Sus scrofa: one gene and its partner. The protein of the gene in region 2 interacts with the protein of the main gene of each other region in a pairwise test. Links are inferred from orthologs where the notes say so. Each region holds a gene or a part of one and is shown on either strand. Other genes may lie near its edges.

Region 1 (5,603 bases), on a different chromosome or scaffold from region 2:
TATGTTCTCAAAAACCAGGTTTCACACAATGGCAGGCACTCAGTCTAGTTCCAGGTGCTTGCGGTAGGAAAGAGACCGAGCTTAATAAAGACTGGTCTTCTTCATGATGCGCAGGAACTCTTGCTCATTGACTTCTCCGTCCCCATCGCGATCAGCTTCATCAATCATTTCCTGCACAACAGGAGTCAAGTTAGATGAATTCATAAATGAAACAAAAATGTGACTAAATAATAGGCTTTTATAATGCTACCTGAATAGACAATTGTAGTCCCCCGCACACACACACACACTACAAGATGCTGCTTCTTATAATAGCTTGCCTCCCGAAAAGTTATTTGAAAACCCAGCCATCCTTTGCCACACATGTATCACCTGAGCTCGAAGATCATCTTGACCAGGGAGACGCCTAAAACCTAAAATAGTAAGTAAAACTATCCGTGAGGCAGCAGCGCCCATACGTTTGCCACACTATTGAAAAAGAAATTAAATGGTCACTAGAGGGACAAGAGAATGCTAGTTTTCCTCCAAAGCATTAGAGAAAACATAACACGGAAAAGCCACACAGGGCTCCAGGCTGACACATCACACACCTGCAGCTCCTCGTCAGTGAGGTTCTCGCCCAACTCCTTGGCCACGCGTTTTAGATTCTTGAACGATATCTTCCCAGTTTCATCGTCATCGAAGAGCTTGAAAGCTTTCAGGATTTCTTCTTTGGTATCCTTCTCAGACTTAACAAGTAGAACATAAAAAACACATGAGTAAAGAGACTCATAATTACCTGTGTCCCACAACCCTAGCACCATCCCCTCTGCCCTGCCACAACAGCACCACATGGCCTCATGACATTGGTGCTAGGTCACAGAAGATCAAAAATCAACCAGCGTAGAGAGAGGGGACAAACATGAAATTGGTACAATCCCAGAGGCTAAGAAGGAAATATAAAGGCTTGCACTTAAAACATTTTCTATACAAATGGAAGAGAAAAGTAGACTGCTTTTTAAAATACAGCAGCAGGAGTTCCCGTCGTGGCGCAGTGGTTAACGAATCCGACTAGGAACCATGAGGTTGCGGGTTCGGTCCCTGCCCTTGCTCAGTGGGTTAACGATCCGGCGTTGCCGTGAGCTGTGGTGTAGGTTGCAGACGCGGCTCGGATGCCACGTTGCTGTGGCTCTGGTGTAGGCCGGTGGCTACAGCTCCGATTCAACCCCTAGCCTGGGAACCTCCATATGCCGCGGGAGCGGCCCAAGAAATAGCAACAACAACAACAACAACAACAAAAGACAAAAAAATAAATAAATAAATAAAATACAGCAGCAGATGATGGGATTAAGTTTAGAGGAAATTCCACTGCTTAAGCTGGGATCCTCTTGGGGGCAGAGGGGAGCAGGGAGGAAAGAGAAGGCGATTTCACTTATGAGAGCACCAAGAGTTACTAGAATCCCAGGTACTCTGACAGAGGAAAAGAGGAAAAGCTTCCTGAACTCTTAACTTAGTCCCTGAAGAAAAATATGGGTGTGATTAGATGATTTCAAAGCAACAGGATTATTAGAGTGGGAAGAGACCTGTGCCTTGGGAAGCACAGCTGAAGCACTGATGGAGCTACTTTTCCACGGGCCAGTAGAATGTACATGAGCCACACTGAGGAGGAGCCAGGAGGCCAATGAAAGAGAAAGGGACCAATGGGTGAAAAGACACTTTCATATCTAGACTCAAATCTGTCCACCATTATTGGTGGAAAATACACCCATCATCTTAGCTAACCTACCATTTTCTGAGTCATCACAGTTAAAAAGTCACTGAAGTTCATTTTTCCTGTCCCTTCCTTATCGATTTCACTTATCATTTTCTTGATCTCTTCTTTCTTGGGTTCAAAGCCCAGTGCCCTCATTGCCACCTGCAATGAAAACAGGATCATCTCAATATGTACATCTAAACCCAGGGGCAAAAAATGACAGCATTGAGAGCATTAAGCCAGTATCTGACACAATCATGTTAAAATAATTAGGAAACACTATAACATTAAGCAAATTGATATTTGCACTCAATTTTGTTTAATAATACTTGAGGTAAATAAAGACAGAAAAACAGCACAGAAGAGAAAGAGGCAGAGAAAAGTCAAGGCAGCAGAGCAGGAATGTACAGGGCTTGCCTTAAGTTCTTTAACATCTATTGTCCCAGTTCCATCAGCATCAAAGAGATCAAAAGCTTCTCGGATTTCCTGTTTCTGCTCTTCAGTAAGCTCTGGTTTAGGGCTCATCCTTTTTCGCTGGGCAGCAGATGCCACGTTTGTCTTCTTAAAGTTAGAGGCCTTTATATGTTTCACAAACAGAGAAGCACGGTATTATGTAATAGGGTACATATTTTACATAAATATGTTACAATCCTATCTACTTTTAAAATAGTTTATACCAACGAATTCCAAAACTAACAGGAGAAATAACAGCGTTTAGTGAAAAGAGCAAATACTCTTTCTCTGCACCTCTATCCCTCCCTCTTCTTTACTACTGTTTCTAGAAGGAGATCCTTTGTTCTTTTGGATATCTCTTATTTGAAATCATCTAAAAAGAGAGCTGGCCAAGGAGCTGACTCTGGATAAATGTACAGATAATCAGCTCTCTCTGAATTTGGGACCCTAAATCTAAAAATGTCCTTAGAACGCTATTCTGCTTCGCTCTAAGTTATAAGATTTTCTGATTACTTCTAATTTGGCCAAATACTAAGTTAAGATGTATATTCTGTCAATATCGAATAATAAAACTCAATCCCCTCGGCACATCTGAGCCTTCCCCAAGAAGGTCAAAGCGTTTCCGAAGTCCCAATATTTAACATTTTAAATGCACATTAACAATCAAACACAATAAACTTCCCCTAGGCTCTGGGTAGAAACTTTGGTAGAGGCGGCCAGGAGGCCAGAGTCTGGAAGTGGTCGGGGTGTGCGAAGAGCCCGAGTCTGTTTTGACCAGAGGTGGTCACCGAAGGAGCCAGGGGAGCCCGAAGGACGGATAGGGGCCAGCTGTGGCTTGAATGGGACGCAGCGGCTAATCGCAGGCCCAGCAGGGCGGCCAGGATCTCTACCCTACCCTTCCGGGAAGCGCTCAGAGGAAAGAGTGCGCCAAAGCCGAGAACCGCGCAGGAGAGACGGCGGGGCCAGGCCAAGGCCTGTGAAGGGCTCAGCTTCTGGACACAGGGTTCGAAAGGGTAACAAGCACTCACCATCGCCGATGGACTCCGCTTCCCGTTGTTACGGCAACGGACGTACACACCGACTCGGCGCCCTTCCCACCGCCCCCTGCGCGCGGCCTTGCACCCCATTGGAGGACAGATGACTGCAGCTCCCCATTGGCACAGTGCTGGAGTGGGTGGGACTAACCCGACGGAGGCCTGACGCAGGGCGCAGGGCATTGTGGCGCGGCCTGGCCTTATTGGGCAGGATTACACCGCGAGCGCTGATTGGCCGAGCCAGCACCAATCCCTTTGGTGGAGGCGCCTCGGCTGATAGTAGCCTCATAAGGGTGGGGAGAAACAGGTGGTTGCTGGCGCCTGGAGCTCTGAGGCTGTAGGCTACCGATGCGCTGAGGCCGGCCAGGGAGGCACCTACCAACAGGTAAGGGTTGCGACCTCGCTCTTGGGTTGGCGATAGGACTGGAAAGGCAAGGAATTGGGTGGGGCCTTTCGCGGGGCTCGAAAAGGTAACAAGCCCTCACCCGGTCGGGGACTTTCTGGTCTGGACTAAGACTGAGTTAGGGTCAGAGGGGCCAGAGAAGACCGTGACCTTGCGTGTTGGAGCAGAGGATGTATTTACGGGGCAACTGAGACGGAGAAGGAAAGGCAGAGGCCGGGCGTTATCACAGAAATTCGGACGTCTGGGACTTAGAAGCTGAATTCATCCACCTGAGGCTCTTTCTTTGGGCGTGTCCGTCCCACCCCAAATAGATAACAAGATAGGATCACTTTAGTTCTCACCTGGCTAAAAGCAGCTCGGGAAGATGAGCTGGGGGCCTAGGAACGGCCTTTGAAGGGAGTGAAGGAGATTTGAGTGAGCATAAAGGGGACAGATCATCAAAATATACTCATTTTGACAACCAAACACTCAAGGCGGATAGTGAGGAGTATTCCAGGTGGGGACACTTCATGAGCAAAGTCACAGAGCCGTTTTGGAAAGGTGAGGCTTGCTCAGAGAATTACAAGGGGGCGTGTGCCACGGTAACAGATGAAAGGGAGCTGGAACAGTGGCCCTGGAAGTCCAAGGTCTGCCTTCCTTAGCCAGCCCAGTGTAAGGGCACTTCTTGCCTCTCAGCCCTTACCTGCTTCACCTCTGGGCATTGGCACAGCATTTTGGGAAGCAGGGGACAGAGCATAAGTTTCTCAGGCTGAAGAAAGCCTGAGATTTATTGACATTCATTAAGCGAAAATGTTTGCCGAACTTCTGCCCTTTACCCTCTTCCTCTTTGAGCACAAGCCGAGTCCAAAACCTTTTGGTCCTATTTGACTCTTCCTGCCCTGGCCCCACTAACTAGCCTCCACTTTCTGTCAGCTTCCTCCTTAAAGGGTGTTTCTTTTCTCTTTTCCACCTCTGTTGCTCCTGTCCCACTTCACGCCTTCAGCAGCAGCCCCCCTGTGGGTACAAGCCAGAGCTCTCACCATGCTCTGCAAGGCCCATCCCAACATGCTTCCTCCTCTCCCCTGGCTGCTCCAGCCCCAGGACACTAGCTTCCTTGATGGACTCAAATGCACGGACACACTCCTGCCTTCAAACTTTTGTTCCAACCATCTCTTCTGCCTGTTTGTTCTACTTGTTTCCTTCTTCCAGGTCTTTGCTCCACTGTCACCTTCTCAGTGAGCCACCCTAAGCATCCTATTTAGCCCTGCATCTCCCAGAACACCCAAACCCTACACCTTTCTCTGTTTTTATCCCCTAGTACTTATAACTGTATCCTTATTTATTTTGTTCTTCTTTGCCCATCCACTAGAAGGGAAGCCATATGGGTGCAGGCATCTTTGTTTTGTTCACTGCTGGCATTCCAGGACCTTGATCAGTGAAGGGTACATATTAGGTCCTCACTAAATCTTGGTTGAACAACTGGTGAGTAGCCCCCCTGTTCCCCGCTTCTCCCCTATCTAGTCCACGCTGCTTCATCAGGGTAATCTTCCTATTGAGCAGTTCTCATCAGAGGTTCCCCATGACTACAGACCAAAGTCCAGACTTAGCCTGGCATCTGAGCCTCCTGCACTAGTAGTTTTGCCCCTACTAGTCCTTCTCTCTTTGTGTCCTTCTACACCCTACTTCCCAGCGAGTCTGCAGGGCGACAGAGTAGAAGGAGCGACCACAAGTGACTTTGGGCCAAGTCCTTTGACCTCTCTGATCCTCGGTTTCTTATCTGTTGAATGAGTATTTTCTTCGTACTGTATTTTCTTTATACGGTATTTTCTTCATACTGGATGCTTTCAGAATTTTTTTTTCTTTTTAGAGCCGCACCCACAGCATACGGAAGTTCTCAGGCTAGGGGTCCAATCGGAGATGTAGCTGCTGGCCTGCATCACAGCCACAGCAACACTAGATCCGAGCCACATCTGCGACCTACACCACAGCTCACGGCAACGCT
Region 2 (4,925 bases):
AAAATATGGTACAAATGAACCTATCTACAAAACAGACTCATATAGAGAACAGACTTGTGGTTGCCAAGGGGAAGAGGGGAAGAAGTGGGATGGATGGGGAGTTTGGTGTTTGTAGATACAAACTGCTACATTTAGAAGGGATAAGCAATGAGATTCTGCTGTATAGCACAGGGAACTACATCCAATCTCTTGGGACAGATCATGATGGAGTATAAGAAAGGGATTGTGTATATATATGTATGACTAGTCACTTGGCTATACAGCAGAAATTGGCACAATACTGTAAATCAACTATACAATAATAAAATATTTAAATTAAAAAAGAGAAAAGGGAGTTCCCATCGTGGCGCAGCGGAAACAAATTCAACTAGGAACCATGAGATTTTGGGTTTGATCCCTGGCTTCGCTCAGTGGGTTAAGGATCTGGCGTTGCCATGAGCTGTGGTGTAGGTCACAGACGTGGCCTGGATCCCACATTGCTGTGGCTGTGGTGTAGGCCAGCGGCTACAGCTCTGATTAGAGCCCTAGCCTGGGAACCTCCATATGCTGTGGGCGCGGCCCTGAAAAGACAAAAAAAAAAAAAAAAAAAAAAAAAGAAAAAAGAAAAAAGAAAAAAAGGTTACGTATATGAAAATATAATCATCAGCATTTAAGAAAAACAACCATACATTCTAGAGTTTTGTACATATACACAATGTTCTTATTCACTAAACTCAAGGGCAGAGACCAGTTTTCAAATATCTTTTTAGTCCCTAAATGCCTTTAGTATCTTAGAATAGAAATTTCTCAGTAACTGTTTAATGATTTTCTAGATTCAACAAACTCAAAAAAGCAAATAGTTAATAGTTACACTTTGATGTACTTTTTCAGTTATATTATTCTGTTCTTTAAAAAAAAAAATCTATGAAGACTTTTAAATCCTAAGATAATATTCTTTTTTATAAAGAACTGAGTAACTAAAATATATATCTAAAAATGGTCATATTAAAAAGAGATTTAGTAAATTAGGCATATTTATTGAGAGACATTTATTCTAGTTCTTTAAATAATTTTCAAAAGTGGAAAAGGGCAAAAATTCTAAAACACCAGTAATATTCTATTTCTTAAGCTGTGTGGTAGCACATGGCTGGTTCACTTTGTTTTCAAAAATTGAACTTGTATGTACACTTTTTTTTTGTGGGATATTTTGAAATAAAAACATTAAATTTAAAATATTTAAAAACCTTAGGTCAGGGTTTTGAAAGCAATAGAGAAAATGAATGACATTAGTTTCTATTGTTTCACAAAAGCAAACTGTGTAAAATATTCAATTTTACATTGCCCCCCACAAAGGATATTAAAAACTCCATAATCTTATCTAGTTCATTAACACAATGAGGGCTACAACTGCAGACAAGGAGCTGAGGTGTCTGCTGTGGGTCCCTCTTTTCTGAAAGCTATCATCCTCCTGGGGGAGCTACAGATTTGTTGCCCATCTGCTTTCTTCAAGATGCTCTCCGGGGGCACAAAAATAGCACAGACTTGAAACTACTCTCAAATTCTTAAGAGGCTAACAGAAAATGAAATAAATGCTGAAATAAAGGACATCATGAATGAATAAAGACTTAGTATAGATAGAATGTGGGATATTTATGCCCCTCTAAAAGGATGGTTTAAAATGTAGGTAATGCTGGAGTTCCCATCATGGTTCAGTGGTTAACAAACCTAACTAGTATCCATGAGGATGTGGGTTTGATCCCTGGCCTCGTTCGGTGGGTTAAGGATCTGACATTGCCATGAGCTGTGGTGTAGGTCACAGATGCGGCTTGGATCTGGCATTGCTGTGGCTGCGGTGTAGGCCAGCAGCTACACCTCCAATTCGACCCCTAGCCTGGGAACCTCCATGTGCCTCGGGTGCAGCTCAAAAAAGACAAAAGAAAAAAAAATGTGGTACTGTTGGAAGAAAAGGAAGGAAGGAAGATTGAAAAGAAAAAACTAGTGTTCCCGCATCGAGCATGCACTCAATAAAGTGACATGAGCCTGGCATATTTAATATAAAGAATAAATCTTATTTCTATATATCTATTGGTCCACCAGTTTCTAAAATGATCTACTCTTTGTATCATGTATGATCTAAACAATCAGTTCCTGGTGTTTACTACCTAGCAAGACATTTACTGAATCAGTGAAAAAGCAGTTATGAAAAAGAAGACCTCATCTTTTCTCCCAATGGAAACTTCATAGGCTTTCTGCAGCTCCTTCAAGCTGTTGATCTGGTTGCACAGTTGTTTCACCTCTGCTGCATGTTTTTCTTTCTCTTTTTTCATTTCCATTCGGTGCCAGTCAATAAAATTAAGTCTCCATTTACTTAGTTCAGATATGATGTTTGTCTGAAAAATAAATGTACCGACAATTAAGTTGCTTGTTCCATAATACTGCTTCTTTAAATGACACTGAAGTTAAGAAATATTTTTTAAAAATCAAAACATGCACTCAACATCAGAGCTATTTTAAAAATCCAATAATGAAAACATCTACAAATTCAATAGTCACAGCTCTTCTTAGTTCATGCACCATACTAAGGACATGATTTTTTGCCTATTTTAAGTTACTTTGTAAAAACGGTCCTAAAATCTCAGTGTCATTTAAAAAATTTAGGTCTCATTCATTAATACACATGTCCTTCGTTTATTCAAAGACTTAAATGCCCATCTTAAGGTGGATCAGAAAACAAAGAAATGCAGGACTAGGGCGTCATCTAGATGGAGAAGAGCAGAAACTATTGGAGTTGATACTTTCTTCCTCCAAATCATTTATCACAATGGCCATCTTACAAGTTGCTAAGTTTGATCCCTTTTCACCCTACTGACTGGCCTAAGTAAAAGGGCCAAATAACTGTGCTATCAAAAAACTAGATAACAGTATGTGGTTAACTTGAACACAGGATAATTTTTAAATGGTTGGTGGTACACAATTCCAATAACTTACACCAGGACTAGAAATATGAAACCTGTTCCATGGGGGAAAACAAATAGAAATTGTACTAAAAGATTGGGAGTTCCTGTTGTAGCGCAGCAGAAACAAATCCGACTAGGAACCATGAGATTGCGGGTTCAATCCCTGGCCTCACTCAGTGGGATAAGGATCCGGTGTTGCCATGAGCTACGGTGTAGGCTGCAGACCCAGCTCGGATCCTGTGTTGCTGTGGCTGTGGTATAGGCTGGCTCCTGTAGCTCCGATTCAACCCCAGCCTGGGAACCTCCATGTGCCGCGGGGAAGGCCCTAAAAAGCAAAAAAAAAAAAAAGCAAAAAAAAAAGAAATTATACTAAAAAAAGTACTTCTAGAATTTAAGGTTCCATATAATGGAGAAATATATGTAAATACCACAAAACTCTTTTGACCATAATTTCTCCCTGTGTGCGAATACTCAGTTTTCTCAAACTATGTTTCAGAAAAACTGTTGTTTTCTCTACCATTTTTTAAATAGCAAAAAAACCGCCATTTCTGTAATACTTTGTTTTATTTAGAGGCTACTAAAATCGCCAAAATAAAAATCAGTTTTTATTGATTTATTGGTTATATTCTGTGGTTGCTAGAAGAGTGGCTATAAAGAGAATATATGTTGCTAAAATTGGGTCTGCACTTCCCCTTAGTCAGAGCTGCAATGTGGGAGAGGTTCACAGGTGCCTCTCTCAGTCACACATAGGCCGAGCCTTTGGAAACATCTGAGAAGGTCAGTGGAACATGCAGACCTGTTCCAGCAACTATTTAAAACCCTGCTCTTTAAAGTATGGTTTCTGAACCATCACCTGGGGGCTTGTTAAAAATGCATCATCTTAGGCCATGGCCAAGGCCAGCTGAATAAGAAGCTGCAGTTTAACAGAATCACCAGGTGATTCACTTGGACAGTAACAACTGAGAAGCACAGATTTAATACACTGGACTGAATTTTTTGTTTTTTTAAAAGCTTTTTAATTCAAAGAAAAACAGACTAAATAGTGGAATCAAGAGCAAAACTGCTACACTACATATTAGATTACAATCAAACAAGTGTAATACCTTAAGCCCTGAACTCCAAAGATCAAGCACGTTTTCCATCTTTTGAAGGTTTTCATCAGAAATAAGAAAATCGCTCACAACAATTTCATGGGCATCTATAGGACTAGAATGAGACCCTGGTGAGGAAGAGTCAACTAAAAGATTTGTACTGAAAAAATCCATGACCGGGTGAGGCGGCTTCCTGGGGGATGACACTGGTGATGAGCCTAGAATAAAACAAAAGTTGGAACGGTCAGCTAAAATGAAAATAACCCAAATTGGCAAGAAGTTATATTGGAAGGCTAGAAGATGTCAGTTATCTATGGAGGCTGAGGAAAACATGGAGAAATGGCCTTTCAGTGTCCTTAATCTGGTTATTTTAAACTTTAGTGTTGTCACAGATTTAAAACTCACCTCCCTCCCCCATCCACAAATGACCTGTCTCCAAATAAAGATGGTTTGTATATCTAGGTGTAGCCTGAGTTCAAAGTGTTATCATCCACATCATCATATCAACAGTTACTAAGTGCTTTCTATGTTCCTGTAGTAAAAACACTATAAGATTAGCTCTCATAACACACACTACTCTAAGAAAAAGGTATTATTACCTCCATTTCGCTGATGAGGAAACTGAGGTTTAGAAAGGGTTAAGTAACGGACCAAGGTCAGACTAACTGTACATAGGTCATTACTTTATGCAAAACAATGGGGTGGGTTTTAACTCTACTAACATTCAACACTATAAGAGACTAAAAATTTAGTTCATTAGACAGTTGTAAGGCACTCTGTTAGCCTTCAACATATAGATGAGAAATAGATGCACTTCCACCCTCTGCCCATGAACATGGGAGGTAGGAATGAGAGCCAGAGCCAGAAAGAGAACTGGCATCTATCTTTAAAAACACAA

What was found.
Region 1: the proteins of POC5 (region 2) and CETN2 interact in binary tests that used the Homo sapiens proteins (3 or more experiments, as listed by UniProt). The link is inferred for Sus scrofa from reciprocal best matches to the Homo sapiens genes POC5 and CETN2.

Annotation. Positions count from the first base shown.
Region 1 is NC_010461.5:123,902,681-123,908,283, forward strand, and holds the start of CETN2 (centrin-2), read right to left. Parts: upstream 3,367-5,603; 5' UTR 3,313-3,366; coding exon 3,214-3,312; intron 2,309-3,213; coding exon 2,150-2,308; intron 1,895-2,149; coding exon 1,766-1,894; intron 729-1,765; coding exon 591-728; intron 172-590; coding exon 82-171; 3' UTR 1-81. UniProt on the Homo sapiens protein: Plays a fundamental role in microtubule organizing center structure and function. Required for centriole duplication and correct spindle formation. Has a role in regulating cytokinesis and genome stability via cooperation with CALM1 and CCP110.
Region 2 is NC_010444.4:84,709,675-84,714,599, forward strand, and holds part of POC5 (centrosomal protein POC5), read right to left. Parts: intron 4,246-4,925; coding exon 4,040-4,245; intron 2,370-4,039; coding exon 2,193-2,369; intron 1-2,192. UniProt on the Homo sapiens protein: Essential for the assembly of the distal half of centrioles, required for centriole elongation. Acts as a negative regulator of centriole elongation.